Canis lupus familiaris: one gene and its partners. The protein of the gene in region 4 interacts with the protein of the main gene of each other region in a biochemical or structural test. Links are inferred from orthologs where the notes say so. Each region holds a gene or a part of one and is shown on either strand. Other genes may lie near its edges. The genes, in order: SCN4A, MAPK12, KCNA4, SNTA1, SLC6A3, FRMPD4 and KCNJ4.

Evidence for each region.
Region 1: the proteins of SNTA1 (region 4) and SCN4A interact in a test that uses a peptide from one of them, tested with the Homo sapiens proteins (2 studies listed by BioGRID and IntAct). The link is inferred for Canis lupus familiaris from reciprocal best matches to the Homo sapiens genes SNTA1 and SCN4A.
Region 2: of the proteins of SNTA1 (region 4) and MAPK12, one has a biochemical effect on the other in vitro, tested with the Homo sapiens proteins (2 studies listed by BioGRID and IntAct, with this or other methods). The link is inferred for Canis lupus familiaris from reciprocal best matches to the Homo sapiens genes SNTA1 and MAPK12.
Region 3: the proteins of SNTA1 (region 4) and KCNA4 interact in a test that uses a peptide from one of them, tested with the Homo sapiens proteins (2 studies listed by BioGRID and IntAct). The link is inferred for Canis lupus familiaris from reciprocal best matches to the Homo sapiens genes SNTA1 and KCNA4.
Region 5: the proteins of SNTA1 (region 4) and SLC6A3 interact in a test that uses a peptide from one of them, tested with the Homo sapiens proteins (2 studies listed by BioGRID and IntAct). The link is inferred for Canis lupus familiaris from reciprocal best matches to the Homo sapiens genes SNTA1 and SLC6A3.
Region 6: the proteins of SNTA1 (region 4) and FRMPD4 interact in a test that uses a peptide from one of them, tested with the Homo sapiens proteins (2 studies listed by IntAct, with this or other methods). The link is inferred for Canis lupus familiaris from reciprocal best matches to the Homo sapiens genes SNTA1 and FRMPD4.
Region 7: the proteins of SNTA1 (region 4) and KCNJ4 interact in a test that uses a peptide from one of them, tested with the Homo sapiens proteins (2 studies listed by BioGRID and IntAct). The link is inferred for Canis lupus familiaris from reciprocal best matches to the Homo sapiens genes SNTA1 and KCNJ4.

The regions. Positions count from the first base shown.
Region 1 is NC_049230.1:15,070,962-15,074,443, forward strand, and holds part of SCN4A (sodium channel protein type 4 subunit alpha), read left to right. Parts: intron 1-155; coding exon 156-209; intron 210-693; coding exon 694-831; intron 832-1,313; coding exon 1,314-1,418; intron 1,419-2,141; coding exon 2,142-2,412; intron 2,413-3,182; coding exon 3,183-3,482. UniProt on the Homo sapiens protein: Pore-forming subunit of Nav1.4, a voltage-gated sodium (Nav) channel that directly mediates the depolarizing phase of action potentials in excitable membranes.
Region 2 is NC_049231.1:17,892,086-17,896,078, reverse strand, and holds the start of MAPK12 (mitogen-activated protein kinase 12), read right to left. Parts: upstream 2,801-3,993; 5' UTR 2,702-2,800; coding exon 2,577-2,701; intron 2,502-2,576; coding exon 2,372-2,501; intron 429-2,371; coding exon 334-428; intron 1-333. UniProt on the Homo sapiens protein: Serine/threonine kinase which acts as an essential component of the MAP kinase signal transduction pathway.
Region 3 is NC_049242.1:51,057,489-51,061,542, reverse strand, and holds the start of KCNA4 (potassium voltage-gated channel subfamily A member 4), read left to right. Parts: upstream 1-1,254; 5' UTR 1,255-2,240; coding exon 2,241-4,054. UniProt on the Homo sapiens protein: Voltage-gated potassium channel that mediates transmembrane potassium transport in excitable membranes. Forms tetrameric potassium-selective channels through which potassium ions pass in accordance with their electrochemical gradient.
Region 4 is NC_049245.1:23,168,104-23,172,383, reverse strand, and holds the start of SNTA1 (alpha-1-syntrophin), read left to right. Parts: upstream 1-1,480; 5' UTR 1,481-1,495; coding exon 1,496-1,805; intron 1,806-4,186; exon of another isoform or gene 4,187-4,280. UniProt on the Homo sapiens protein: Adapter protein that binds to and probably organizes the subcellular localization of a variety of membrane proteins. May link various receptors to the actin cytoskeleton and the extracellular matrix via the dystrophin glycoprotein complex.
Region 5 is NC_049255.1:11,357,321-11,360,820, forward strand, and holds part of SLC6A3 (sodium-dependent dopamine transporter), read left to right. Parts: intron 1-1,817; coding exon 1,818-2,043; intron 2,044-3,500. UniProt on the Homo sapiens protein: Mediates sodium- and chloride-dependent transport of dopamine. Also mediates sodium- and chloride-dependent transport of norepinephrine (also known as noradrenaline). Regulator of light-dependent retinal hyaloid vessel regression, downstream of OPN5 signaling.
Region 6 is NC_049260.1:9,192,596-9,196,095, reverse strand, and holds part of FRMPD4 (FERM and PDZ domain-containing protein 4), read right to left. Parts: intron 2,365-3,500; coding exon of another isoform or gene 2,360-2,364; coding exon 1,035-2,359; 3' UTR 1-1,034. UniProt on the Homo sapiens protein: Positive regulator of dendritic spine morphogenesis and density. Required for the maintenance of excitatory synaptic transmission. Binds phosphatidylinositol 4,5-bisphosphate.
Region 7 is NC_049231.1:27,320,468-27,324,746, reverse strand, and holds the start of KCNJ4 (inward rectifier potassium channel 4), read right to left. Parts: upstream 2,801-4,279; 5' UTR 2,587-2,800; intron 1,232-2,586; exon of another isoform or gene 1,175-1,231; intron 7-1,174; exon of another isoform or gene 1-6. Other genes in the region: uncharacterized protein LOC119876745, read right to left, coding at 3,499-3,750. UniProt on the Homo sapiens protein: Inward rectifier potassium channels are characterized by a greater tendency to allow potassium to flow into the cell rather than out of it.

The DNA of each region.
Region 1 (3,482 bases), on a different chromosome or scaffold from region 4:
TGCTTCCAGTGCTGTGGGACACGAGAGGTAGTATCTAGACCTCCGTGGTCTCTATGTCGTGCTCTGGGGAGGATCAGGCTGGGGTGAGGAGGGAGACTCAAGGATGGTGGAAATGAGAAGCAGCCCCTCTCCTCACACCCAACCACACTCCCCAGGCCACCTTCAAGGGCTGGATGGACATCATGTATGCAGCCGTGGACTCCCGGGAGGTGAGTGGGGCTCACTGAGATGTGGCTGGCAAGTGAGCCAGGGGAGAGGACGCAGATCAGAGGCACAATGACAGTTCTGCCCAACCCCACCCCCATTCCACCTCCTCAGGAGCCCCCAAAATCAGCAACCTGGGGGTGGAAGGATCCACCTCTGGGTCCCAGACTCCTCCTGCCCACAGTGAGATGGGGAGCCGGGAGCAGCCAACATACTCCCCCCAACCTCCCTATCCTGTCCCATCCCATCCTGTTCCATCCCCATCCTATCCCATCCCATCCTCTCCCATCCCATCCCATCCTGTCCCATCCCTTCCCCTCCTATCTCATCCCATCCCAGCCCCATCCCATCCCATCCTCATTCTATCTTGTTCCATCCTGTCCCATCCCCATCCCCATCCCCATCCCATCCCATCCCATCGCATCCCATCACATCCCATCCCCATCCCATCTTGGAGCCCCATCCCATCCTGCCCTGTGTCCTCTGCAGAAGGAAGAACAGCCACAGTATGAGGTGAACATCTACATGTACCTCTATTTTGTCATCTTCATCATCTTCGGGTCCTTCTTCACCCTCAACCTCTTTATCGGCGTCATCATCGACAACTTCAACCAGCAGAAGAAGAAGATGAGTATCCACCCACCCTCCCTGCACTCACTGGTCCCTTCATATATTCCCACCTGCCACCTCAGCACCCACTGTGCTGCCACTGGCAGCGGGACTGGGGCAGCCGGCCTGGGTTCAGGTTCTCCCTGGTGACTTTGAACAGTCACTTGGCCTCTGTGAACTCTGGTTACCTTATTAAGAAATGAGGTTGGTGCTACCTACCTGGCTGGGTCATCATTCAGAGGAGGCAGCAAGATATTGCTGAAAAGCATCCGGCCCCAAACAGGCTACGAGCCAGTGCTTGTCCCCTTCCCTCCACCTCCCCTCTGTTCCTTGTCTGGACAGAGTCCCCCTTCCCCTCCCTCCCTCCCTCAGCCCCTATCTCTGGGCCCTCCAGGTCCCCCTGCTGGTAGGGGGGCTGCCTTAAGGGTGGTGCCTGAGGTAGGGGGTCCCAGAGGCAGAGAAGAGAGGCCTCCAAACTTATAGGCACCATCCCACTATACTTTGGAGGGAAAGACATCTTCATGACGGAGGAACAGAAGAAATACTATAATGCCATGAAGAAGCTTGGCTCCAAGAAGCCTCAGAAGCCAATTCCCCGGCCCCAGGTACCAGCCCTCTGAGCCCCTCCTCCTCCAACCTGTATGAACCTCCTGCCCAAGGGGGCCCATGGGGGTAAAATGCAAGCTAAGTTCTGCCCACCAGCCCATATCCCTGGCGTGAGGCTGAGTCCACCTGCAAGGAAGCTGGGTTCCCTGCCAGGGGAATGTGCCTCTTTATAACTGCTCAGAGGCACCATGTGTGGGAGCAGCAGCTGCCTGATCGACCCCAGTCACTGGTTTGCCCCTCACCCGGCCCTGCACAGCCTCCCAGTGTCTACCCACTCCTTCAACTGATGACCTCTGGGGCAAGGGCCCCTAGAAGTAGGAGGAAGAGGATGTCCAGACACCTTCCCCAGTGAGTGATGACTGTGGAAGAAGAATGAGAGGTTGCTGGGGGCCTTGATGAGAGGAAGGGTCCTAGAGTAAGGAAGATACCCATGGACCCCAAAGAATGGCCTGTTCTGATGGGTATCCCCTCCTTGCCATGGCCAACTCTACCCCCTCTATCCCCTCCTCTCTCATGGCCACAAGCCCTGACACACACACCCCACTCTCTCTTTCTCTGTCTCTGTCTCTGTCTCTGTCTGTCTGTCTCTCTCTCTCTCTCTCTCTCTGTATCATGCTGTTGTGTCATCTTGTGTCTCCTGCCTGTCCACATCCTGTGTGGGTCCTGACCACTGCCCCCCACATCTACCCACCTGCACCCCTGCACTCCTAACCATGCTGCAGAACAAGATCCAGGGCATGGTGTACGACTGCGTGACTAAGCAGGTGTTTGACATCACGATCATGATCCTTATCTGCCTCAACATGGTCACCATGATGGTGGAAACAGACGACCAGAGCCAACTCAAAGTGGACATCCTGTACAATATCAACATGATCTTCATCATCATCTTCACTGGGGAGTGTGTGCTCAAGATGCTTGCCCTGCGCCAGTACTACTTCACCGTCGGCTGGAACATCTTCGACTTTGTGGTTGTCATCCTGTCCATTGTGGGTGAGCAGGGCCAGGCTGGGCTGAGTCATTCTGGAAGGCCCGTTGCTCCCATCCTTATGTACACACACCTGCTCTCACACCTGGAAAGCTCACACATACATTTACACATACGCATGTGCAATATGCACCTGGCATTCACACTTAAGACACAAAGATACATAGGATGGGCTCATAGGCAATCTGTCACCTGCATACACGTGAATATGCTTCTAGAAACATTTACCTACCAGTAGATGCACACTCAGGTCCATGTGCCTAGTGGAAGACATAAGATGGTTCTAGTATCATCCATACACACAGAAGTGCATAGACACATGTGTAATTATGATAGCAACTAACTACCACTTATTGATCATTTACTATTTGCCTGACACTGTGCCATCCCAGGAGGCAGGGACTGTTACCACCTCTGCCTTACAGAGGAGGAAACTGAATTATAAACAAGTTAAATGTCATGCTCAGAGTCACACACAGAGCTGTCTTCCCTCTCTGTCTCATCTGTGGCATCTGCAAACAGCCTTAGGAGTCAGCCTTACCCTCTCTCTATCAACTTGGGTGTATCTCACCTCCTTCCAGCTACAGTGTAACCCTAGCCCCAGGACCCTAGGAGAGCCCAGCCTCACGGGCCAGGTCATTTAGACTGTGCTTCTGTTGCTTCCTTTCCAAGGAAGAGCACACCAAGCCAGGTCCCCTTGAGTCTCCCTTGCCCCCACTCCCTGATCTAACCTCCCACCCCAAGGACAGTGCTCCTCACCACTTGTTCCCTGCAGGCCTCGCGCTCTCCGATTTGATCCAGAAATACTTCGTGTCACCCACACTGTTCCGAGTGATCCGCCTGGCTCGGATCGGGCGTGTTCTGCGGCTGATCCGAGGGGCCAAGGGCATCCGGACTCTGCTCTTTGCCCTCATGATGTCCCTGCCTGCCCTCTTCAACATTGGCCTCCTGCTCTTCTTGGTCATGTTTATCTACTCCATCTTTGGCATGTCCAACTTTGCCTATGTCAAGAAAGAATCGGGCATCGATGACATGTTCAACTTTGAAACCTTTGGCAATAGCATCATCTGCCTCT
Region 2 (3,993 bases), on a different chromosome or scaffold from region 4:
AGCAAAGGTCAGCGGCTCTAGTTACAGGCCATGTCCGATGCCAGGGTCCCAGAGCACGGGACCTGCCAATGACAGATGCAGGCCCCACGCTTGCATGCCCAGCACTGGAGAGGGCCCCGCGCCAGGCGTGGGGGCAGGAGGCCCAGGGCCCACCCACTGTGCCAGGGCCATGGGTCCCGGGGGGCATGTGGCAGGGGGCAGACTGTGGTGCAGGGAAGGGACCCCCACTCGGGCTGCAGGGACACCCACAGACCAATGCGGAACCCGAGTCAGCACCCAGGAGCAACCCAACACTCCCTTGCCCTGAGCAGACTGCCCTGGGGCCGCACTCACAAGTCTGTGAAATCATCCAGGGTTTCATCAGGAGTGAACACGTCCAGCAACCCAATGACCTGGGGGGAGGCCGGAGTACCTGGTGGAGTGGGGGCCTGGCGGAGGGCACGGGGTCAGGTACACCCCGAGGCGGCACGGTGCCCCAGGTGGGAAAGCCCCCTACAGCTGTCCCCGTGTCCCCCCACTGTCCTACTGGCAGGACAGCCTAGCCCTGGCACACATGCCCATAGACACAGGCTATTTTTGAATGGTGACTGCAGGGATCCTCTGGGGGAGGGGCGGTCCCAAGTCTGGGTCGGCTCCCAGCCATCCAAGGCACTCCAGCCCCCTGGCCCTTCCCCCGCCTCTTCTCATGCCCACTGAAAACCTGACGGCAGGGTGGGACAGCCTCCCAGGGGAGAGCCAGCACCCAGCAGGCCCATCAGGGAGCCCTAGCTCTGCCAGTGAGGCCCAGGCAGGCAGCACGACAACCAAGGCAACGGCTAGACCCGGCCCCGCGGAGCCCCAGGAGGCCTGTACAGCTGAGTGGCCAGAGGGGCAGGTGGATGTGCCAGCGGGGGGACACCTGGCAGAGGCCAGGCAAACGAGGGCCGAGGCAGAAGGGAGGACACTTGAAGCGTTTGAGGAACACGGGGAGAAAGGCCAGGTGGCTGAGGCCCAGGCCAGGGAGTAGCCAAGGAGAGGCCGGAGGGAGCCGGGCGGGCCCTCGCCTGCCAGGTGAAGGTTTGGCCTTGATCCTAAGAGCTGCCAAGAAGGGGTTTAAACAGGTGCGATGCCTGCTGTGTGGGGACAGATGGGAGTGAGGCAGGGACAACTAGGTGACTGCGCCACCAGGGCCAGAGTCACGGGCACAGGGGTGGACAGAACATAGAGGGATGTCCGGTGAGGGGCCTGGGCCACCGGGAGAGTGTCTTGGCAAGAAGGGGATGGAGGGCAGGGTCCCTGAGGGTCAGGGGGGGTCTGTCACGTGGAGAGGGATCTGTGCCCCTGTGGATTCTGGCCTCAAGTAGAGGGAGGGAAGGGAGAAGGTGCCAGGTGTGGGCGGAAGGGCAGGACCCGGCCGGCACTCTGCCTCTCACGGCCTCAGTGTCCTCCCAGGGCAGCGGGGTCACAGTCAGCCATGTGCAGGGCACCCCGAGGCGGTGGCACCGGCTGCCAGAAGGTCAGGAGCTCAACTGGGATGGTGCAGAGGAGGAGATGCGGCAAGGGTGGGAGGCGACCGAGCAGGCCGCCCTGAGATCTTGGGGGCAGGAGCCGGGGGGGCAGCTGGGGAGGAGGCTGCCACCACAGGGAGCCAGCTGGGCCTCACTAGGGGAACCAGGAATTGGTGAGGTCGGGGCTGGGCTGGCGTCCCGCACGAAGGGATGTCCCCAGGGAGGCCCAGGGGCAGAGGCAGAAGTCTGCGTGAGTGAAGCACCCGCTGCAGCGCCATCGGCCAGGAGCCCAGGAGACCCGGGGCTCGTTTTCCCCCGGGGAACGGAGGCTGATGACCTAGAGCCGGACCATCCGTAAGGGTACCCCGCCCCCCCCCCCACCCAGCAGCCCTGAGACAGCCCGATCCGGGGGTGACGCGGGGTGGGCTGTGCAGAGGGCAGAGCTCGGTCGGGGAGGCCCCCCAGGACACAGACCGGGGCTCAGCAGCCAGCAATGGGCACACAGGCCGCGGCAGCACACGGTGCCCCAAGGGCAGGTCGGGCATCAAGGGAGGCCCTTGCGGGTGGGGCCGCACATCTGCCACCCTGGAGCGAGGCGACCCTGGGCCGGCCACCCGGCCTCGGCTCTCCACGGCCGCCCGTAGCCCCTGACCACGGGGCACTCCCCGCTCGGCGCCCGCTGGGCAGACTGTGGCCCATGGCCTGGGTGCAGGGGCGCCCTGGGTGCAGCTGCGGGGGATGCCCAGCCGGGCGATGGCGCCCCTTCCGGGACCACCGCGGCCTGGGGAGGCAGGGCTGGGCCGAGTGAGGGTGCCAGCCCGGCGAGTGTCCCCCCCACCTCGGGGGTGAGCCCGGCCCAGCCGCACCCGGGGGCGCCCACTCACGTTCTCGTGGCGCATGTGCTTGAGGAGGCGCAGCTCGCGGTAGGCGCGCTTGGCAAACAGCTCGGACTGGAAGGGCCGGTACAGCTTCTTGATGGCCACCCGGGCGCCGCTGCGGCTGTCCACCGCCGAGCTGCAGGACGCCCTGCTCAGCAGCCGCCCGCCGCGCCCCCCCCCCCCCCCCAGCCACCCGGCCGCCCGCGCTCACCACACGGCCCCGTAGGCGCCCGAGCCCACGGGCTGCAGGTCCTGGTACACTGCGCGCACCTCCCACGCCGTCTTGGTCACCTCTTGGCGGTAGAAGCCCCTGCGGGCGGGCGGCGGGGAGCTCATGGTGCCCAGGGCACCCCCCCACCGCGCCCCGAGCCCGGGACCGGGTCGCCGCACCTGCTCGCGCGCCTGGCACCGCGGGTCTCCCCTCCCTCCTGGCGCGGCTGTCCCGCGCCGCGACCCCCGCCTGCCCCCTGGCCCGGCCTGGCCCGCAGTCCCGCCCCCGCCGCGGACCAACCGGCCCCCGGGCCGCGCGCACGTGACGCCCCCGCCCGTCCCGCGGAAACCCGAGGAGGCGCGGGGGCGGGGGGGCGGGGGGGGGGGGGTGTGTGGAGGGCAGGGCGCGCCCCCAGAGCCCGAGCCCAGCGCGGTGTCTGAGCAGATGCCCCTGGGTCACCGCGCTGCCCCTCGCGGAGCTGGGCCCCCCTGCTGCACAGCCCGAGCTCCCCCAGTCCCGGCTGCAAGTCCCTGGCCACGGCCGGCCTGGCCACCTCCACCGTGTAACCCGGGCCCCATTCCTGTGTCCCCCTTGTCACCTGCCCACCTTGCGGGACAGCCCCTTCCCCTGGGGCTGATCCATCCAGGTCCCAGGGTGGGCCCCCACCCCCACCTCCCCAGCACCTACTGCCTGCATCCCCCTCTCCTTGGGGAGGAGCTGGTTCTGTCTCCCAAACTTAGGCTGCATCCCCAACACCCCTCGGTGTGACCACCGGGCCCCGGCGCCAGAGAGGGTGGTGGTGTAGGTCTCCCTTGGGCCCCCAGGCACACCCAGCTCCCTGCCGGCCACCTTCCACCCAGCTTACTCCCTCCTGACCATCCTGAGCCTGGCCTGAGCCTCCCCTCTCTCTCCAGACTTGACTCCCAAGGGTGAAGGAGGGCCCTACTTGGGCTCTCAGGGCCCCCCTGACCCCTAGGTGGGGCATCATCCTTCCACGGGTCTGGCCATATCCCGGACCGGATGCTCCTGGGGGACAGAGCCCCCTCCACGACCTGCTCAGCCCAGGGACCCAGGTCCAAGGTAACAGGATCCCCAGGGGCCCTCCCCTCCCTCTGCCCTGCCGGCCACCATGAATCAGCAGCTCAGAGCGGCCAGAGCAGCTTTCCACCTGGGCTTCCACAGGACTTGGAGACCAGCCAGAGAGAGCGGCCTGGGCCACTACAGCCACAATCACCTGTGCCCTTCACGCCTGGGGCCGACCAGGCAATCCCCCTGCCTCTCCCAGGAGCCCCTCGCTGGCTGCTTCCTCCCCGTGGGGGGCCCGGGGTATGGCAGGTGTCCCCAGGTGGTGCATCCCAGTTCTGCTCCCGTCCGCTGCCCCTCACCACGGGACTTGGTCCAACCTGGTCTCCAAGGG
Region 3 (4,054 bases), on a different chromosome or scaffold from region 4:
AAAACTCGGGTGGGTTTAGGCTCCGAGGCCGACAGGATTCAGCCTGGAGCAGCAGGTGGTCAAGCGCTGAATCCTGCTAATGGCTCCAGAAAGCCATTTCTCCTGTGCTCCCCAAGTGCTTCCAGTAATAGAAACTGGTGGATGCCCTGAATTCTGACTGTCGTGATCCTCCCCAGCTCTCGGGGCCACCCTGCGTTCTCGGGAGTCCTGTCGGACCCACTGAATGCAAAAGCATAGGAGACAGAAGACCAGGGCAGTCTTTCCAGGTCCTGCTGAGGACGTGAATTAGCTGGACCTGGAGGGAGCCGACCTAGAAGAGAGGCCAGGAATTCCAGGTGACAGAGGAGCCAGATCGGGGCTGCGAGGAAGATGCGATCAGCAAGTGGCAGATCGGAAACAGAAGTGGGCAGAGAGAGGCAAGGGAGCCGGCCGGGGTGGGTCCGGGAGACGGGAGATGATGGATGAAATTATGAGGGGAATGTCTGATGGGTGGAGGATAAAATCCGCACAAACTGGGATTTTAAACATAAGGAGATAGTCCCCTGAGAAGATGTAGGAGGAAGCATTGAGGTGAACATGGAGGAACCGCGAGGAGGAAAAAAAAAAAAAAAAAAAAAGATGATTATCAGAGAAGTAGAAACTGGGATTAGCTCCTAGGCTGTGGGTGGTAGGGAGTGTTCTGGAGTCTGGGGAACAGAAAAACAACAACAGGGACATGCTTCAGGGCGGCAGGAAGTGCCAACCTAAGACAGGCCGCTGGGGAGTCTCCGAAGGCCCCCGTGTCCTCACTTCTGTCCTCCCCCTAACTGAGACTGTGGTGCATGGACATAGGGGTTTGGGGTGAGTACCAGACAGCAGAGGCCGAGGTCACTGTCGCCCTGTTCAGAGCCGGCAGCATGATGGACGTGCATGATGTCTGTGCTCTGCTGGCAGCGTTCACCGTCTCCGTCGGTCCTCACCAAGAGACGGGGGAGGTTCCATGTGCCCTGCACTTCGTAGGTGAGGAGACTGAGGCTTGTGGAAGCCGTGGAGCCTGGGTGAAAGCAGGCCGGTTCCTCCAGCGGCCCTGATCCTGAATCAAGACAGAGAGGGGTGGAGAGGCACTAAATTCAGAAGTATTTGATGAGTGGAAATTCAGAAAAAAAAAAAAAAAAAAGAAAACCTATGCCTTGAGATCAATGAATGATGGAAGCAGTTGTAAGGTGACCGCGTCGTTGTCGTGGAAGGAAGAGAGTGACCGCGAGAGTTAAGACCTGGCATGAGCGAAAGGGACGGCCACGTGGGTGGAGTGGAGAGAGGAGAAATAATTGAGTTGCCATGAAAATAGCCCGAGCGGGAATCAGAACCAAAGAAGAGGGCAGGAGGGTGGTTGGGTGAGGAGGAGACGTAACCGGCTGCGGTGGTCCCTCGGGGCTTCGGGTGCCTTGCTTGCTTGAGGCCCAGAAGAGCGGGGTCTGGGAAGGAGGCGCCGTCGGCTCTTTACGCGTCGATGCTTTTTACTCTGCTCCCATGCTTGTTCCCTTCCTTTTTCAGGTGGAGTGCTGCTTCTGCGCCGCCGCAGCTGAAGGATGCTCTGCGCTCCCTGGCTTTCCATGGAGACCTCCGAGCCGGGTTGGCCCCCGCTGACACCTCGCCTCGTACCTTCTCTACCTCCCAAGCTGTTCGCCTGTGTCGCGAGCTCGGCCCGGGCCCCGCGCCCCGGAGGCCTGTGCTGAACCCAGGGAGCGGCCGCGGGCTCTGGGCGGCGATGGCCCGACGCGCTTCCAGCCGCTCGCCCGCTCGGGTCAAGCCGTCACGAGAAGGCAAGTGCTAAGACTAAAGGCTTATTTGCATTTTATTTAAATCTGATGGACCGAGCTTTGGACGATTTCCATGGCAGAAAAATCCATTCCGTTTTCCAGGCACAAGTGCTGGCCGTCAGATAGCCGCGGCCTTTGAATCCCGGGCGGCGGCGGTGGCCAGTTGGGGCCGCGCTTCCAGACTGCGCCTGGGCCCCGGGCGCTGGGGGCCCCGGCGGGGACTTGGGCCCGGCGCGCGCTACCCGGACGGGCCGGGCCTGGAGAGCAGCGCTCGTCCCTGGGAACCGAGAGCATGGGGCGTGCTGGTTTAAAAACGGAAAATGCAAAGTTGGACTGAAAATATCCTCAGTCTTCCGAGCAATCTGCTGAACGGTTCCAAACTTACCTTAGTGTGGTGAGGCGGGGAGCTGCCCCACTTTCCGTCGCCCGCCTCCCGCGGCCATGGAGGTCGCGATGGTGAGCGCCGAGAGCTCGGGCTGCAACAGCCACATGCCCTACGGCTACGCGGCGCAGGCCCGGGCCCGGGAGCGGGAGCGGCTGGCCCAGTCGAGGGCCGCGGCGGCCGCGGCGGTGGCGGCGGCCACGGCCGCGGCCGCGGAGGGCGTTGGGGGCCCCGGGGGCGGCGCGCACCAGCAGCACCAGCAGCATCAGCAGCACCAGCAGCAGCAGCTGCAGCAGCAGCAGCCCCGCGGCACCTGCCCCGCACTCGAGCCCCAGGGCGGCCGTGTGGCCCGGAGGCGCCGGCGCTCGCGGCCCAACCGGAGGAGGCCTCAGCCGCGGCCCGGCGGCTTCCCGCACGGCTCGGACCTGCTGCCCAGCGGCTCGGAGGAGAGGATCCTGAGGGAGCTGAGCGACGAGGACGAGGACGACGAGGACGACGAGGACGCCGAGGAGGAGGCCCGGTTGGGCCGCGGCCAGGACGACCGCGCGGCCCACGGCTCCTGCAGCGACCTGCTGCCCCGGGACGACGGCGCCTACGGCCCGGGCCGGCCCAGCGGCTGCTGCGAGCGGGTGGTCATCAACGTGTCGGGCCTGCGCTTCGAGACCCAGATGAAGACCCTGGCCCAGTTTCCCGACACCTTGCTGGGCGACCCCGAGAAGAGGACGCAGTACTTTGACCCGCTGCGAAACGAGTATTTCTTCGACAGGAACCGGCCGAGCTTCGACGCCATCCTGTACTACTACCAGTCGGGCGGCCGCCTCAAGAGGCCGGTCAACGTGCCCTTCGACATCTTCACGGAGGAGGTGAAGTTCTACCAGCTGGGAGAGGAGGCCCTGCTCAAGTTCCGGGAGGACGAGGGCTTTGTGCGGGAGGAGGAGGACCGGGCCCTGCCGGAGAACGAGTTTAAAAAGCAGATCTGGCTCCTCTTCGAGTACCCGGAGAGCTCCAGCCCGGCCAGGGGCATCGCCATCGTGTCCGTCCTGGTCATCTTGATCTCCATCGTCATCTTCTGCCTGGAAACCCTGCCCGAGTTCCGGGACGACAGGGACCTCATCATGGCACTGGGCGCGGGCGGACACGGCGGGTCGCTGAACGACTCCTCGGCGCCCCACCTAGAGAACTCAGGGCACACCATCTTCAACGACCCCTTCTTCATCGTGGAGACCGTCTGTATCGTCTGGTTCTCCTTCGAGTTCGTGGTTCGCTGCTTCGCTTGTCCCAGCCAAGCGCTCTTCTTCAAAAACATCATGAACATCATTGACATTGTCTCCATTTTGCCTTACTTCATCACGCTGGGCACCGATCTGGCCCAGCACCAGGGGGGCGGCAACGGGCAGCAGCAGCAGGCCATGTCCTTTGCCATCCTCAGGATCATCCGTCTGGTCCGCGTGTTCCGGATCTTCAAGCTGTCCAGGCACTCCAAGGGCCTGCAGATCCTGGGCCACACGCTCCGAGCCAGCATGCGGGAGCTGGGCCTTCTGATCTTCTTCCTCTTCATCGGGGTCATCCTCTTCTCCAGCGCCGTGTACTTCGCGGAGGCCGATGAGCCCACCACCCATTTCCAGAGCATCCCAGATGCGTTTTGGTGGGCCGTGGTGACCATGACGACTGTGGGCTACGGGGACATGAAGCCCATCACCGTGGGGGGCAAGATCGTGGGGTCCCTGTGTGCCATCGCAGGTGTCTTAACCATCGCTTTGCCAGTGCCAGTGATTGTCTCTAACTTTAACTATTTCTACCACAGAGAGACTGAGAATGAGGAGCAGACGCAGCTGACACAGAATGCGGTCAGTTGCCCGTACCTCCCCTCTAA
Region 4 (4,280 bases):
TCAGTGCTTAGGCACTGACGTCAAACAAGCCTAGGTTTAAGTCCTTTCCCTGTCCTCCTCACGAATGTGTGATAGAGGCCATTTAGGCCTTCTATATCTAAGTTTTCCCTACTGTATAATGGGAGTGTTGCTAACTACAGTTACTCCTGCAGGCTACTGTAAAGTTGAGATAACACAGGAATATGCTCAGATCTAGGCCTGGCCAATGGTAAGCACTCAATAAATAAAAGCGACTAGGGTGCCTGGGTGGCTCAGTCGGTTGGTTAGGGCTCTGCCTTCCTCTGGGCTCACGATCCTGGGGCTGTGGGATCCAGGCCTTTTGTTGGACTTCTGCTCACGGGGGAGCCTGCTTCTATTTCTCCCTCTGCTGTTTCCGCTGCTTGTGCTCTTTCTGTCAAATAAATACAATCTTAAAAAAATAAAAGCGACTGTATTGATTGCACAGGAGTCGCAGTCTACAATGCATTTTCAAATCAATTTGATTCTGACACAAACACTGTCAGGTAGCGATTCTTGTGATCCCCATTTCATAGATAAGGAAATTGAAGCCTGGAGAAGTGAAGTGATGAGATCAAGGTCGACAAGGAGCTAACAGAGTGAGGCCCCAGACCCAAAGCCCCACCTTCCAGCCCTCTTTCCTCACACCAGGAGTCCTGGGTTCTTCTCCAGCCAGGTCTCGCAGAGGGTGTGGGACTTCAGGCTTTTTTTTTTTTTTTTTTTTTTCTGTTCGACTGCTAACAGAACAGGTGGTTAATCTCTCAAACTCCCTTCCATCGAGGTGGCGACCGCGTCCAACCCCTCGGTGGGCCCCGAACGGCCTGCAGCGTGCCCATCCCAGGGGGCGGGACCGTCCGCGAGAAGCCACGCCCACAGGCAGACCGAGGCCCGCGCCCGCGTCGGGAAATCAGCCGCTTCCCAAGCCTGCCTGCCGGCGCGGGGGGCTCCGTGTCCAGCTCGGCCGGCCCCTAAGAGCAGCTCTCCGCAGCACACGGCTCTGCGCCCACCCCCAAAGCCTCGCAACAGGATCCGCGGTCCTACCGCTTTCGCTCAGGCTCCTACGTCCGTGAGCTCCGGTCCCGGCCCTCGACGGCCTTGCGGAGCTCCGAGCCCCTCCGCGGGCTCCTGCCCGGACACGAGGCCCCGCCCCGGCGGCCCCGCCCCGCCCCGCCCCGCGCGTGGCCGCGGCGCCCCTCACCCTGGACCGCTCGCCCTACGCCCCAAGGCCGCAACCCCCCGGGCGCGCGCTGCCCCGCCGCATCCCTCGGGTCCCCGCGCCGCCGCGTGCCCCGGCTCGCCTGCGCCCCGCCCCGCCGCCGCCCCCCGCCGCCAGCCACACCCCGGCGGCCCCGCCCCAGGCTCCACCCCCAGCGGCCCGGGGTAGGGTGGCGGCTGGCCCAGGCGGGCCCCCGCTGCCCTCTGCCCCGGGCGCTCGGTCGGAGCGGGCCGGGCACTGCGGGGCAGGGGAACGCGGCGGCCCGGGGGCTCCGCGGCGAAGATGGCGTCCGGCCGGCGCTCCCCGCGCACCGGGCTGCTGGAGCTCCGCGCCGGGGCCGGTCCGGGGGCGGGCGGCGAGCGCTGGCGGCGGGTGCTGCTCAGCCTGGCGGAGGACGCCCTGACCGTGGGCCCCGCCGACGGCGAGCGCGGCCCGGAGCCCGGCGCCCCGCGGGAGCCGGAGCCCGCGCAGCTCAACGGCGCCGCCGAGCCCGGCGCGGCGCCCCCGCAGCTGCCCGAGGCGCTGCTGCTCCAGCGGCGCCGCGTGACGGTGCGCAAGGCCGACGCGGGCGGGCTGGGCATCAGCATCAAAGGTGGGCGCGGGGGCACCGGGGGCGCGGGGGCGCGGGGTCTGCGGGGTCTGCGGGGCCGCCGAGCGCGCCGGGGTCGCGGAGGCCGGCCGAGCGGCGCACGCGGGACGCGGAGTTGGAAGACTTCGGTCCGGGGACGAGGAGGGTGGCTGAGGGACAGAGGGACCGAGGAGGACACGGGGAGCAGCAAGGTCGGAGGCCTCAGTCAGAAGGCACAGGCGGAGGCAGTGGGGGCGCACCAAGGACAGGCGGGTGGCTTCTGTGTGGAAGCATAGAGACGTCAGGGGTTGCGTGGACATCAAGTAGGAGAGGAGCCCGGAGAGCGACGGATGGAGAGAGGGGATTGAGGCCTGGGAAGCTTCCCTGAGACGCCGCCAAGGTGGCGGGGAGGGGTAAGGCCTGGAGTTGGGAGCACAGGTTTGGAGACTTGGGGAGAGGCACAGGCTGGGCTCACAGACAGGGGTCCAGGAAGGACCCAGAAATCTGAGGACCCAGGACCCCATGTATCTAGGTGGAGAGTCCCGACAACTGGGTTTGAGTTTCCCTGCCTGGCCATCATCACCTTGCGCGGAACTGAGAGTGGGCATAGAGAAATCTCGGCCCCGATACTGAGAGCTTTCTTTAGGATGCAAGCAGGTAGTGTTTGAATCCTGGATCTGTGTGCACTTAGACAAGTCACTTCCCATTTCTGGATTTCAGTTTCTTTGCTATATAATGAGGCTAATGATAGAGTTGTAACAATTCCATGAGAACAGGAGTCTGAAATTTGTACTCTGCCAGCACGCAGTAGATGCCTAGTTAATTATTGCTGTTAGATGAGAGGAAAAATGGAGTCCAGGAGAGACTGCCAAGGCAACTAACCATAGTGCTTAAAATCCCTGTATACTCACAGCAGCTGGGTTCACCATTCCTACCCATCTGCTTCTCAGGGTGCTGTCTGCCTCGGGAAAGGGTGTTGGCTCTTGTATCACCTTGGATATGCACTGTTCTCTCCCTGCTGCTGGGTCCTTTCATTGGTGTCTCCAGACCCTTTGGCCTGGGTGAGGGGGTGGGGATGGTGGTGACTCAGCTACCACCGTGTGCTGGAATGCTGTGTTCCGTACTTAGGATCTATTTTATCCAGGCAACAAGTGGTAAAAAGTGAGGAGCATAATCTCCATTTAGCAGGGGAAGAAACTGAGACTCAGAAAAGGAAAACAGGGATCCCCGATGGCTCAGCGGTTTGGAGCCTGCCTTCGGCCCAGGGTGTGATCCTGGAGTCCCGGGATCAAATCCCACATCAGGCTCCCTGCATGGAGCCTGCTTCTCCCTCTGCCTGTGTCTCTGCGTCTCTTTCTGTGTCTCTCATGAATAAATAAATAAATAAAATCTTAAAAAAAAAAAAAAAGAAAAAGAAAAGGAAAACAGTCTTCCCAGGATCACACAGTGAATGATTTGAACCTCAATGATCAGGCCTTAAGAGAGTGCTCAGAGGATTTGGTTCTTCCCCATCAAAGGGCAGATTATCAGGCAGCTGACCAAAGGAATCTAAAAGGGAGAAATGGGGAATGCGGAGAGTGGACACCAGTCTTGCCCCTCAACTCCAGAGTGGAATAGGGCAACAGATCAATCCAGAAATTGGACACTCAATGTGTTAAAGCAGAAAGGAATTAATTTTTTTTTATTTTTTAAAGATTTTATTTATTTATTCATGAGAGACACAGAGAGAGACAGAGAGAGAGAGAGAGGCAGAGACAGGCAGAGGGAGAAGCAGGCTCCATGCAGGGAGCCCGACGTGGGACTCCATTCCGGGACTCCAGGATCACGCCCTGAGCCAAAGGCAGACACTCAACTGCCGAGCCAAACCCAGGCATCCCAAGCAGAAAGAGAGTTAATATAGAGTTCCATTTTACAGATGGACAAGCTGAGACTTGGAGAGGAGCACAGACTTTCCAAGGTCACATGAAGTTACTCCTTAGCTTCATACTGCCCAGTGGGAGTGAAGGTACTTTTAGGAGAGGTCAGGGGAAGTACTAGCTCCATTCAGTTCTTCATGAATAGAGACTGGGCTCTTGTTGCCATGGTGACCTCCCTTCGAGGGTCCAGCCTGGCTTGAGGTGGCTTGGGATGATCATAGCTTCAAATTGAACTGAATTTCCTAGTTTCATGTGGAGGAGAGCAGATATAAATAGAAACCCACTCCTTTCTAGGCTTTAAGTCCTGTGCCATGCAGTGAGCATACTATTGGGCCTGTATGGGGGCCAGGAGAGGCATTCTAGTCCTACCTTTGCCACCAACTTATTGTGTGACCTTGAAATAATGACCTCCTCTCTATGGGCCACTAGATCCTCATCTTCAGCATTCTGGGATGGACCAGTAATATGATATCTGAGGGCCTAATTTACAGTCAACCATAGGGTTAAGAGCCTGGTTCTGGAGCCAGGAGACCTAGGTTAAAATACTACTTTGCTGCCACCAACTAGCTGGATGACCTTGGGC
Region 5 (3,500 bases), on a different chromosome or scaffold from region 4:
CGTGGGGCTGGCTGGAGCTGGCACGTGGCTGCGGGCTTCCCGGAGTCCGACAGGAGTGTGCCGAGTTCCCCGTGTTTTTTTGGGGGGCGGGGTGCAGGACAGGGCTAAGCCTGCAGCCCGCCACCCAGGGATCCACAGTCAGCCCACTGCTGGAGACAGCCTTCCACAATGCTCTCCCAGTCACACAGCTCCCCGGCCACACAGCTTCCCAGGCCAGGTCACTGCGAATCACAACCCAGCCCCCGTCCTGAGGAGCTCAGCGAGCAGAATTGCAGTATAACATTATTTCACGTTGACCAAGTCCACCCCGGGAAGGCCTTCCGAAGAAAACCGTCACGTTTTTGTCATCGTAGACCCTGCCACGTTTTCCAAGACGGTTTGCACGCCAGGGCCTATTTTATTTTCAGGGCCCTCCTGCTACTGGTCTGTTCAGTAGACTTGCACAAATAAATTCTGGTGCCTCTCTGTGCTGTCAGGGCAGGAAGAGAGTTTTAGTGAGGTGCCCTGAGCATGAAAATTGCTTCTCCTCAGGGTTACGTCCATAAAGGACACCACAAGCCACTTCCTGGAAACATCACCTGAAGGCCTGCTCCACCTGCAGCCAGGCCCAGCTGCGAGCGGGCACACGAGATGCAGCACCAACCAGGTTTAACTGAGAGAATCAAAGCTTGAGTCCAAACAAATCCCATTTGCAAAGCTCAGAAGGAAAGTTGAAGTGAAGAGTTCTGTGTGGAGCCTGATGGAGGAGCCATGTGGCAGGAACGGGACACTTACCTGAAGGCCCCTTGGCCAACGGGAGGAGGCCGGATGCACCTGCCACCATCAGGATGGCACAGCTCCAAAGACTGCTCGCCACTCTGTCCTAGTTTGCTGAGAGCCCCTCAGTGACTGATCCCACATTTTGTGACCCTGGAAAGGTCACCACAAAAGGCCTTGGTTTGCTTTAGGAGACCCTGGACGGTCAGGGATGGCCCTGGCTGACCGTGGATGGTCAGGGATGGTCCCGGGTAACTCTGGACTGTCATGTGTGGCCCCAGGTGACCCTGGACAGTCAGAGATGGCCCCAGATGGCCCTGGACGGTCATGCATGGTTCTAGCTGACCTTGAATGCTCAGGGATGGTGGGGGACCCTGAACAGTCATGCACAGCCTTGACTGATGCTGAATGGTCCTACGTGGCCCTGTGTGACTTCAAAGTGGCTCTAGGAAGCTGTGAATGACCCAGACGACTCTGTTTACCCTGGGTAGTCTTGAGGGGTACGAGCAGCGCTGAGTGGCCATAAATGGCTCTGAACGGCTCTGGGTAGCTGTGGGTGGCCATGGAGGACCCTAGCTTCTAAGCACCATTGGTGTCTCTGGATGTCCCTGAGTGACCCTAGATGACTGAGGGTGATGCTGCGTATCTCTGGGTATCCCTAGATGGCCCTGAGCTGTGACGGGTGCTAGTAGATGATTCTGATAGTTATGCCTAGTGGCACAATGACCTGGTGGCCCTTGAGGTTGATGCTGAGTGGCCACAAGTGGTAGTGGATAGCCACAGATAGGCCTCGGTCACCCCGTATGTATGTGGGTGACCTGGTTCTACCAGGGTGGCCCTAGGTGACCATGCATGTCTCTGAGGGCACACGGCCCTGGATGCTTGGGGGGTTGGGTGCAGCCGCCAGTGATCATGGCATGAATTTTGCCACCTGAGCCTTCACTAGTTGGCTCTGGGTGTGCAGCATCGTGGCCAGGTGTCCATGTCAGTGGTCAGCCAGTCGACGTAAGGGAAGGAGGGTGGGTGCCTTGCAGACGGCGCTCTGTGCTCTCCCGCCCTAGGCGTGGGCTTCACGGTCATCCTCATCTCGCTGTACGTCGGCTTCTTCTACAACGTCATCATCGCCTGGGCGCTGCACTACTTCTTCTCCTCCTTCACCGTGGAGCTGCCGTGGGTCCACTGCAACAACACGTGGAACAGCCCCAACTGCTCAGACGCCCACTCCAGCAACTCCAGCTCCAGTCCCAACGACACCTTCAGGACCACACCCGCCACCGAGTACTTTGAGTAAGTGGGGGTGTGGTGGCACGTCACGGGCCGTGTCGGCCTCGGGGCGGGAAGGACACAGTGTCCAGTGCCCTGCGGCAGCCCCGGGGGTCGGCTACCCTGCCCATGCTACCCTGCGAGGGTGGGGTGAGGTCCCTTGTCTGGTGCCTGCATGCCATTCCTCTGGGTTCCCCATAGGGTGCGTCTCCAAATCCCACGTCTAGTGGCTCAGCGACGCTCCTGTGGAGTGAGTCCTGGGTGGGAGGCAGAGCAGGCCCACGGCCGCGCTGTCCCACAGCGAGCACGACATGGCCAAGGGCAACCTGCAGAAGGACGTGTGGGCCCTGGGCGGGGGCTGCAGGGCCACCCCCAGAGCGGACCTGGCTCTGCCTTCTCCGTAACCCCCCCCCCCCCGCCCTTCCCTGCATGCAGAATCGACGCCCCTCCGGCCTCCTAAGCAGGCCAGGCGTGCCAGGTGCAGCCACTGTTGCTTCTCCTGAGATGTTCTCTTCCTCCTACAAACACAACGTTAGTTCTTGCCCAAGTCACTCCTGGGTCCCCACATCTAGGGGGCTGCCCAGTACCCTCCCCTCCCCTGCACCTGCACCACCTGGCATCCACCACATCCCCGAATCAATTCTTCTCTGGGTCTTCTGGGCCCAGCTCCTGCCCCCTTTGCCCTCGTCTACATGGCCTGACTCCACCTAGAAGAGCCACCCATTGAGTCATCAGACCTGTCCTCCTGGGAAGAGCCAGGACTCGGGCAGGTGGACAGAGATGCCCACTGCCTCCCCTAGGATTCCCCAAGAACTCAGGAAAGGAGGGATTTCCTGGGAGGAGGGGACTGTCCAAGTCCTGGGGCCCCAGAGACCCGTCCTGTGGCCGCGAGCTAGGTGCTGCTAGCAGGGTGGTAGGTGTGGGGCAGGTGTTCCTAGGGGCTGAGACCCATAGTCACACCATGTCTCAGACACCAAGAACCTGAAATGCTTTGGTCTGGGGTTCTGTGCCCCATGTGGGCACCATATCTCCATGGGGGGAAGCGGCATTGAGGGGCAGGTTTGGAATGTCTGGGGGCACAGCCAGGATGATGCGTGGTTTTCTTGAGTCATGGTCAGGAGGAGTGTGGCTGGGGCGCGAAACAGTCGTACACCATGGGACGTGCTTGTCTTTAGGAGGATGCTGTTGGTGTGGGACTAGAAGAGAGTAGCATGGTGAGGAGGACGGGGAAGGAAGGACAGGGCTCATGGTCCGCAGCTGGACACATGGGTGGGAGATGGAGATGCGGGGGGTGGGGGTCCAAGCATGTGGATGCAAATCCTAACGTGATGAGAGCAAGTGAGAATCGTCTAGATAAAGAGAAGTTGAGCTTGCTGTTCTCAGGGGTGATAATCACCCACACCACTTGCTGCTGAGCTGTTCCCCCACTGCATTTCCTGAATTTAAGTGTCGCAGTGACAGGTCGTGCCCAGGCTGCATGG
Region 6 (3,500 bases), on a different chromosome or scaffold from region 4:
CATGACTGGATCTGCACTTATTTGATGATCATTGAATGTTGCTTTTTGTAATTTCGCAAATACTTCACTAAATGTTCTGTCACTCTTAATGGAATTCTAAGTTTCACGGTTGAGTCGGGGTGGGGAGGAAGATGATGTCTTTGGTTTATATATTTTGACATTTAATCAAAAGAGATCTCTCTTTCATCAAACAATTTAATTTTGATATTATTCATTCCTTTCATTTTACGTCGTTAGATCATCTCTAACTCTAGGTATTACCTAGGAACCTGCGCATCATTACCTCTCTTCTTCTATTTGGGAAGTATTTGAACTACAGAAACATCATGAAGAGCATTCGTACTGACACAATCGAATCCACCCCCACCCCATTTCTAGCCCAAATGGCAGAAGCCAAAATTAAATTTTATGTAGGATTCTTGGAAGAAAGCATCAGATAACCAAACACTATGAGCAAAAAATTAATTTATTATATATATTCTCTAATAATTCATAATAGCTTCTTGGATTTTAAATGTCTCTTTTGCTATTTCCAATGCTTAAAAATCATAATTTTAAAACATAAGTACTGTTTTATATACACTATGATTTCTTTCTCTCTCTCTCTCTCTCCCCCTCGCTCTCTCTCTCTCTCTCTCTCTCTCTCTCCCTCTTTTTTAACTTCTAAGTATGAATGATATGGTCTCCAAGTATCCGCTTGGAGGGAAAGGGGATGGGATTCATTGTTTTGCTCTAACACGGGAGAATTTAAAACTTCACATCATATACCTGGAGTTTCAACTATATGAAAAATAGCCAAATGTCATCACTTTCTTGTATATTTCTTTTACATGTATATATATGTATAATATAAACAGAATACTTCTGATTAGTACATTTCAACATTTCATCAATGTGACTTTTATCTCCTATTTTATATAAAATAACAAAATATACAGAGAGAAGAAAGGAGACATCTGTTCATCGTACACATAAAGTAAATAAAAGTTCATGTATGGCTTTGCAAAGGTAGATTATGATGTGACTTTCATACTTTATTTATTTAAAAGCATCTTGAGAGAACGTGTTAGTGTGCTTACGAGGGCGGCCATGGTGGTTGAATGTCGCGCCGAGAGTCCAACATTAGGATCCCCAGTGGTCTTTCCAGTGGCTGCCTCTGCAGCTTTCAGGAGACAAATGTAGTTTATGACCACTTCATTGATCTTCGCTACAATTTCCTGCCGCTGTGTTTCTGAGTTCACGACTTTAACTAATCGCATGCAAGCTTCCGTTAGGCAACAGAGCACTTGAAAGCTGGAAGTCATAGCTAGGAGCATCTCCTCTGGGCTTTTCTCGGCCATCGCCAGCTTCCTACAGGCACTTCCCAACTGTCTGGACTCAATGGACAACAGTTGCTTGTACTGAGAAAGCGTAAGGTCATATGCTTCAGGGCGTGACTCCTCCCTCTTCCCCTTTGTCGCCCTTACGAGGCAGAGCAGCTCATTGGCATCATTTTGGGCTGCGAGGAACCCATCGGGCATTGCGTATGTGCTCTCTTTTAGGGCATTTATTCTTGCAATCCGGGCATCGAAGGCCAGGTTGCTAAAGTCCGCGTCATCTGGGCCACTCAGGTCTTCTGCCCAGACCTTCAGCACTGACCCCCTGGACAGCTCCCCTCCTTGCTTCTGAATCCCAACAGCCGGAGGTGGGCTGATTGGTTCTGGCGTGGCTTGAGTCATCTGTGGCCGAAAGAGGCAAGAGACCTGGCGCGTGGCCTCTCCCTCCTCTTCATCCTCATCTCCATCTTCATCCTGCCCTCGGTTCAGGAAGCAGTAGCTGAAAGGTCCCCGGCATCTCCAGTTGCTGCCTTCCAGCTTGCGCAAGGGTAATGTCCTGTACAGCTTGGAGTCTTTGTGAGCCACCGGGGACCTCTTGTGAACTTTTCCCTCGGAGCTAAAGAACATCGAGCTTTGGGAAAAACTTTTGGTGAGCTTCTTCCCCAGGGGGAGTTCTGCTCGCCTTTCCGAACTGGCCTCCGGTGCTTCTGTGATTCCCGGACACTTTAAGCTGACCGCACCCTTGGTTCTCTCTTGGAAGGTCTCCAAACCCACAGATCCCGAGAGGATACTGCTGCTACGCCGCAGAGCCTTCTGGCTGGGGGGTGTCCCGAGGCTCCCCCCTCTCAGATCCAGTGGCCGCCAGTTCACAGCCTCTCCGTATGCCAGATTTGCTTGGGAGAAATCATTAGGGTCTTGATTTGGAATTGGCACCTTTGATTCCGAGTGAATGTTTGATGGTAGCAGGATGGGATCAGCTTCAGGATGTTGAGACCAAGCTGAAGGCATGCCTCCTCGTCTCTCCTTCCCAGGCTCTGTCAAAGCTACACTAGGGGTAGCAGAAAAACAGAGAGAATCGTTAAGCATCTCATGGGTGGTCATTTTCACTGACTCTCTAGGTGCTGGCTGTCACTTCCCGAGGATGTACTCTAGAAGGGCTGCCATTTGTCAGGGTCACCCTCCTTTTCAAAGACTGCCTCCTGAGATCTCATAAGATTTCCATTTCAAGATATATTGGGTAGCTGTTATTTCTGAAACTATGGATTTATTTGTTTTGAAACTATGGATTTATTTTGAATTGGCTAGAAATCACAATTATTTGCAGAGACTGTGGCGCTTCACAACTTGTCTGACCCCCAGTATTTATCTATCAGTGTTTAGACATGTAATTAGAAAACACACATCCTAGATCTCGGCTATTCAAAATATTTATGACATTTGAGTTTCATTTCAAGGGCGTTAGGTTAGTCCTGGCATCAGTTACTTAGTTACCTTTTTTTTCTTAAGTGGTCTAATTAAGGCAAAGTAAATAAGGTCAGTTTTTCAAGAGGACCCCACGAGGACTGCCTGGTATGGGGTTTGAAGAGGAGACCCTGGGCGAGTTGCTCAACTTTTTGCAAAAAAGTTGTCATGTGAAGAAAATATTTCCATCTCACGGAATTTTTGTGGGAAGAGGGAAATTAGGTGAAAGCTCTTCATGAGCCACGAAAGATTAAACAGCGTGCTTCAGTTAGAGGTCAAGACACTAGCTGAGTGATGAGTTAGGGAACATTCATAGGCAGGTTTCCCGAGGCTGGTGATGTCAGTGGTGGGTTTTGTGAAAGTAGATCATCTTAAAAGGGCAGGAATGGAAATGAACCTATGCAAGATCTCACTAACATCTACTGACCTAGTCTGGAAGAGATGTTATGGATATACTTTGATATCTGAGAGTAGGAAAGAACATCTGTTTTGGCCACGTGATGGCTGGCCGAGTGGATTGGTGAGAGGAATATGTGCCCACTGGGTGGTAGGATGGTGAAGATGGGCACAGAGGTGGTTGTGTTCTTGTTTCTACCTATGCCTACGTTTTATTATTTGGGGGAAAATAAAGCAGCTCATCACGCGTACCCCCAAAGCCTTCCTGACACTGAGGTGTACCGGATACTTCAGGACATGTCTCTATGAGAGTCTTACGGAGTAGGG
Region 7 (4,279 bases), on a different chromosome or scaffold from region 4:
TGGCAGGTAAGTGCCTGGTCACTGTCACAACTTTCCGTGGAAATTGGGAGGGTGCAGGAGAAGCAAATGACCCGTGGTCTCTTCACCTAGCCAGAGGTCTGCCTGCTGGCTGCCCTGGAAATGTGGGGTGCAGGGCAAGGAGGGAGGGGCAAAGGGGGCGGGGAATGGAGACTGAGGGGTCTGTAGACCTAGAGCCTCTGCTCCTGTGGGGTCAGTCCTGATGCTGGGTCACTGGGCACAAGTTCAAGGGAAAGGTAGGAGCTCAGGGACAGAGACTTCTGGAAGATGGAAGGGGGAAGCCTGGTGGCTGTGACATCATAAGCCTGAGAGGAAACATTTGGTAATGGTCCCCTCCTCCTGGGGCTGTAGCCTGGGATCCTCCTGCAAGGAGGGTCTGGTGGAGGCTGGGAGTGACTGGGAGGAGGTGGGAAGAGGCAGAAAAGGCAGCTCCAGCCAGAGAGAGGTTCAGGGACCCCAGGAAAAAGAGTCCCTTCACCTCCCCCCCCACCCCGCTCTGCCCCAAGCCTGATGTGACTCTGGACAGCTCACTTGTCTCCGTGCCTCAGTGTCCTCATCTGTATGACAGCCTATTGTGTCATAGGATAATAGCCCCACAGTTGAGATGATGGGAGCTTAGGGGCGGAATTCCCTATTGTCCAGCCCATATTTGAGAAGGGCAGGGGTGGGGAGGTGGAGGCAAGGAGGGATGTGAGACAGGTGTGCAGGGGCTCACAGGGGCAGCGGGTAGAGGCTTGGCTGTCAGAACCTGGGCGACCCTGGGCAAGTTGCTTATCCTCTCTGGACCTCAGGAGCCTCATCTGTAATGGGACAGTCTGGACTGGGTCCCCAAAAGGCAAGTAGGCTTTGTGGTCATCCAACACCAAAGCGCCCCCTGGGAAGAGTGAAGGGAGCAGACGCCCCTGGGGGTGATACCATTAGCCCAGCACTATTCTAGGCTTGCACAGGCATTGTCTCATTTAATCCTTACCAGAACTCTATGATGCAGGCGCTTGTTACCCATGGGGAAACTGAGGCATGGGCCATGTTGGTACATGGCCAGGGACAACTCTGTGGAAGGGCAAGACTTGCTCTGAAGTTTGATAGGTAGTGATGGTAAAACGTTCATCCAACTGAACATTTTGCCAAAGCTTCTTGGCCCATTTTCCATTTTCAGAGATGATCCTCCCAGTGTCTTCATGAGGGAGCCTCTAGGACTATCCCTCATTCACAGGTGAGGAAACCGACCTGAGACACAGAGAGAGGAAGTGCCTTGCCCATGGTCACTCAGGGAGTAAGCAAATGTCTCAGCCACATTTGGAATCCATTCCTAGTTTCTGGGGAGAGGTCGTTTGAGGCCAGCAGAGCACTCGTGAACTGGCTCACTCTAGGAGACCAGTCAGGCCTCCCTGGTCCCATAGAGGCCTTGAGAGCAGGCACAGAAGGCCTGGAGGACTGCAGGTGGGAGGGCCTGAGCCAAGCTGGGAGAGGAGTGGGGGAGGTGGGCCACCAGGGGCCACTTCCAGATGCCAGAGTCACAGAGTCCAGGGGTTTGGGACTTAGAGAGTTCCTGAAAGTCTGGCCAGCCCATTCTACAGATGGGGCAAACAGAGGGAGCCCAGCTGCTTAGATTAGGAATCAGACCAGGACACAGCTGGCCAGCCTCAGAACTCTGAAGTCCCAGCAGCCCTGAGGGGTGAGGATGGATGGTGGGGAAAGGGGTAATGGGAGCCCACAGGGCCAAGACCCATCCCAGCGGCTATGCCCTGGGAATGGAGGATTGCAGGGGTCTCTCCCGCCCTCCACTCCCCCCCTCGCCCACCCCCCAGCACTCAGTAGTCACCAGGGTGGAATATTTTAGCACCTATAGAAAAACCGCCACAGACGGCCGTGGCAGCTGTTGCTAAGGAGACGCTCCCAAAATAGCCCCCCTCCGCCAACCTTTCCCGCTGCTGCTCCTGCTGTGGGGAGGGGAGGAGGCCAGAAGGGGAGGGGGTGGCATGTGAGCCCTGGACCCAGGTTCACCCATCCGCCCTTGCTCCTGCTGCCCACATGCCCCAAGATGGGGCAAGCCAATGACCAGAGCAGCCACAGGTCTGCAGAGGGGGCAAGAGCTAGCCTGGGCACAGTCCTCAGCTGGAGGAAGGTCACCCAGATGAGGGGAGATGGGGGGGAAGAGAGCCCCCCCCACCCGAAACCCTCAGCACACTCCTACACATGCACGATTACAGACCTCACAGTTTTACACATCCACTTGTGCACACCACAAGTACAGACCCACAAATGCCCTCCTTGATATGCATATTCACCACCACAGACACAAATAGATGCACGGGTAAATACATATGCCTCAAATACACAACACACACCTGCAAGCACATACCACGCAGCCATAAATACACACATTTACACACACATACTCAAATATGAATCGCAAGCACACACAAATACCAATGTATGCATGCACGCCTGGCACATGTACCCCCACACACGCACCGCAATGTAAATACGGTCTCACAGCACACGAACACACAACTGTAACAACACATGCCCAGCATGTGGCATTCAAAGAGCATTAAGTGGTGTTACCATCGGGTTCTGTGCAGGAGCCACGTCCTGGGCTCTCCAGACATCCTCACTTAGTGGGGGCACTTCTGCGATCCAGCTACAGGGTAGCAGACTAGGAGGCGGTGTCCAGGAGGGTGGTGGAGGCTGCCGTCTCTGTGAATCCCTCCGGTAGGTGGTCTGGGGACCAAAGGATCCCTGGTGCCTGGGAGAGCTACGCTGGGTCCATTGCTTGGGAAAGGGGATGTTCCGGGAAGGAAATCTCACCCTAGAGACTGCAAACCCATGGGCATGGGGGGAGTTGGGAGCCCCATGTTCACTGGGCACCTGGTTGTCACCAAGCCTGCAGCTGAGGCCAGAATGATGATGAGGACAAGAAGACAATAGAGTGGCAGCAGTGATGGTCCTTAACAGGTGCACAACACTTTACAGTTTATAAGCCACTTTTACACCCGTTATTTCACACACTTGGTAACAGCTGCCCTGAGATATCGGTGGTGCTGTCCCATCTCTGCGGCAAAGGCAGGAGAACGGACTTGAAGACCGCACAGCGGCTTACTGGCAGAGCTGGTACCAGAGCCCAAGGAGGTGCCAGCACCCAGCTCTATGCACCCTTCACTCGGCTGGACCGCACAAGCTAGAAAGCAGGCCACCAGGGTGCAGGGCTTGCCTTTGCCCCTGATTCGCTCGCTCTGTGATATTGGGGAGCAGCCAAGCGGTCCACCTCCCCACCTGGAAAACCGAGAGTGAACCCCAGGGGTGTATTCATCCTGCAGTTGGCGGGCACCGGGCTAGGGGGTGGTGCCAGATGCCCCCCCCCCCCCCGAGAATGCCAGCGCAAGGACGAAGGGCACCCGTCGCTCCCCTCTGCCCTCGGCCAGCCACCGTCTCTCTCCAGCCACCTCTCCCCAACCGCCCCCCCCACCTCCCGCGCACCGTTGGTTCCGTGGCTCCGGTTCGGCGATCCGGGCTCCGGGTCTTCGCTGACGCCTCGTCACTCGGGAGACGCGGAGAGCGGCTTGCGGTTGCCGTGGGAACCCCGCGGCGGCCCCGGAGCGGCGCACGACTCGGAGCCCGGGGGCCGGGCCTGCCCCGCGAGCGCCGAGGGGTCTTTGGCGTCTCAGACAGACACCTGTCGCCAGCGGCGAAGGGAGGCGGCGTCGCAAGGTTTGTTATGCTTTTCTTTTTCTTTTAATTGAGGTGTGACTTACAAACTGTAATACATCTTAAGAGCACAGCTCGATGGATTTTTACATATGCAAAAAACCCGTGTAATCACCACTGGGATCAAGATACAGAACACTTCTAACGCCCCAGAAGGCTTCCTCGGGCCCCGAGGTTATTTTTAATTGTCTTTTTTGCACTTCTGGAATAAACCGGCGAGGGAGTGATCGGCTTCTGAGAACACAGAATGTGTTTTCTCCTGGCTCTGCTTTGCGGATCCTCTTTGGGCCTGGGTGTCCCATAAAGGGGAGCAGGGGACTGGCATTTGTTGAGTGGTTTACTCCTTGCAAAGCGCTTTAGGTACCTAGCTAACTTTGACTCCTATCAAGTCAGTATTTGGTTTATACCCAGGTTACCCATGGGAAAGATGAAAGTTTGCCCAAATTCCTACAGCCCATCAGTAAGTGGTGACACTTGAGACTTGAACAAACATCTGTCTAGCCTTGGCATTCATTCTTCCTCCCCTTTTCCTGCTTATTGGCCTCTTATTTTT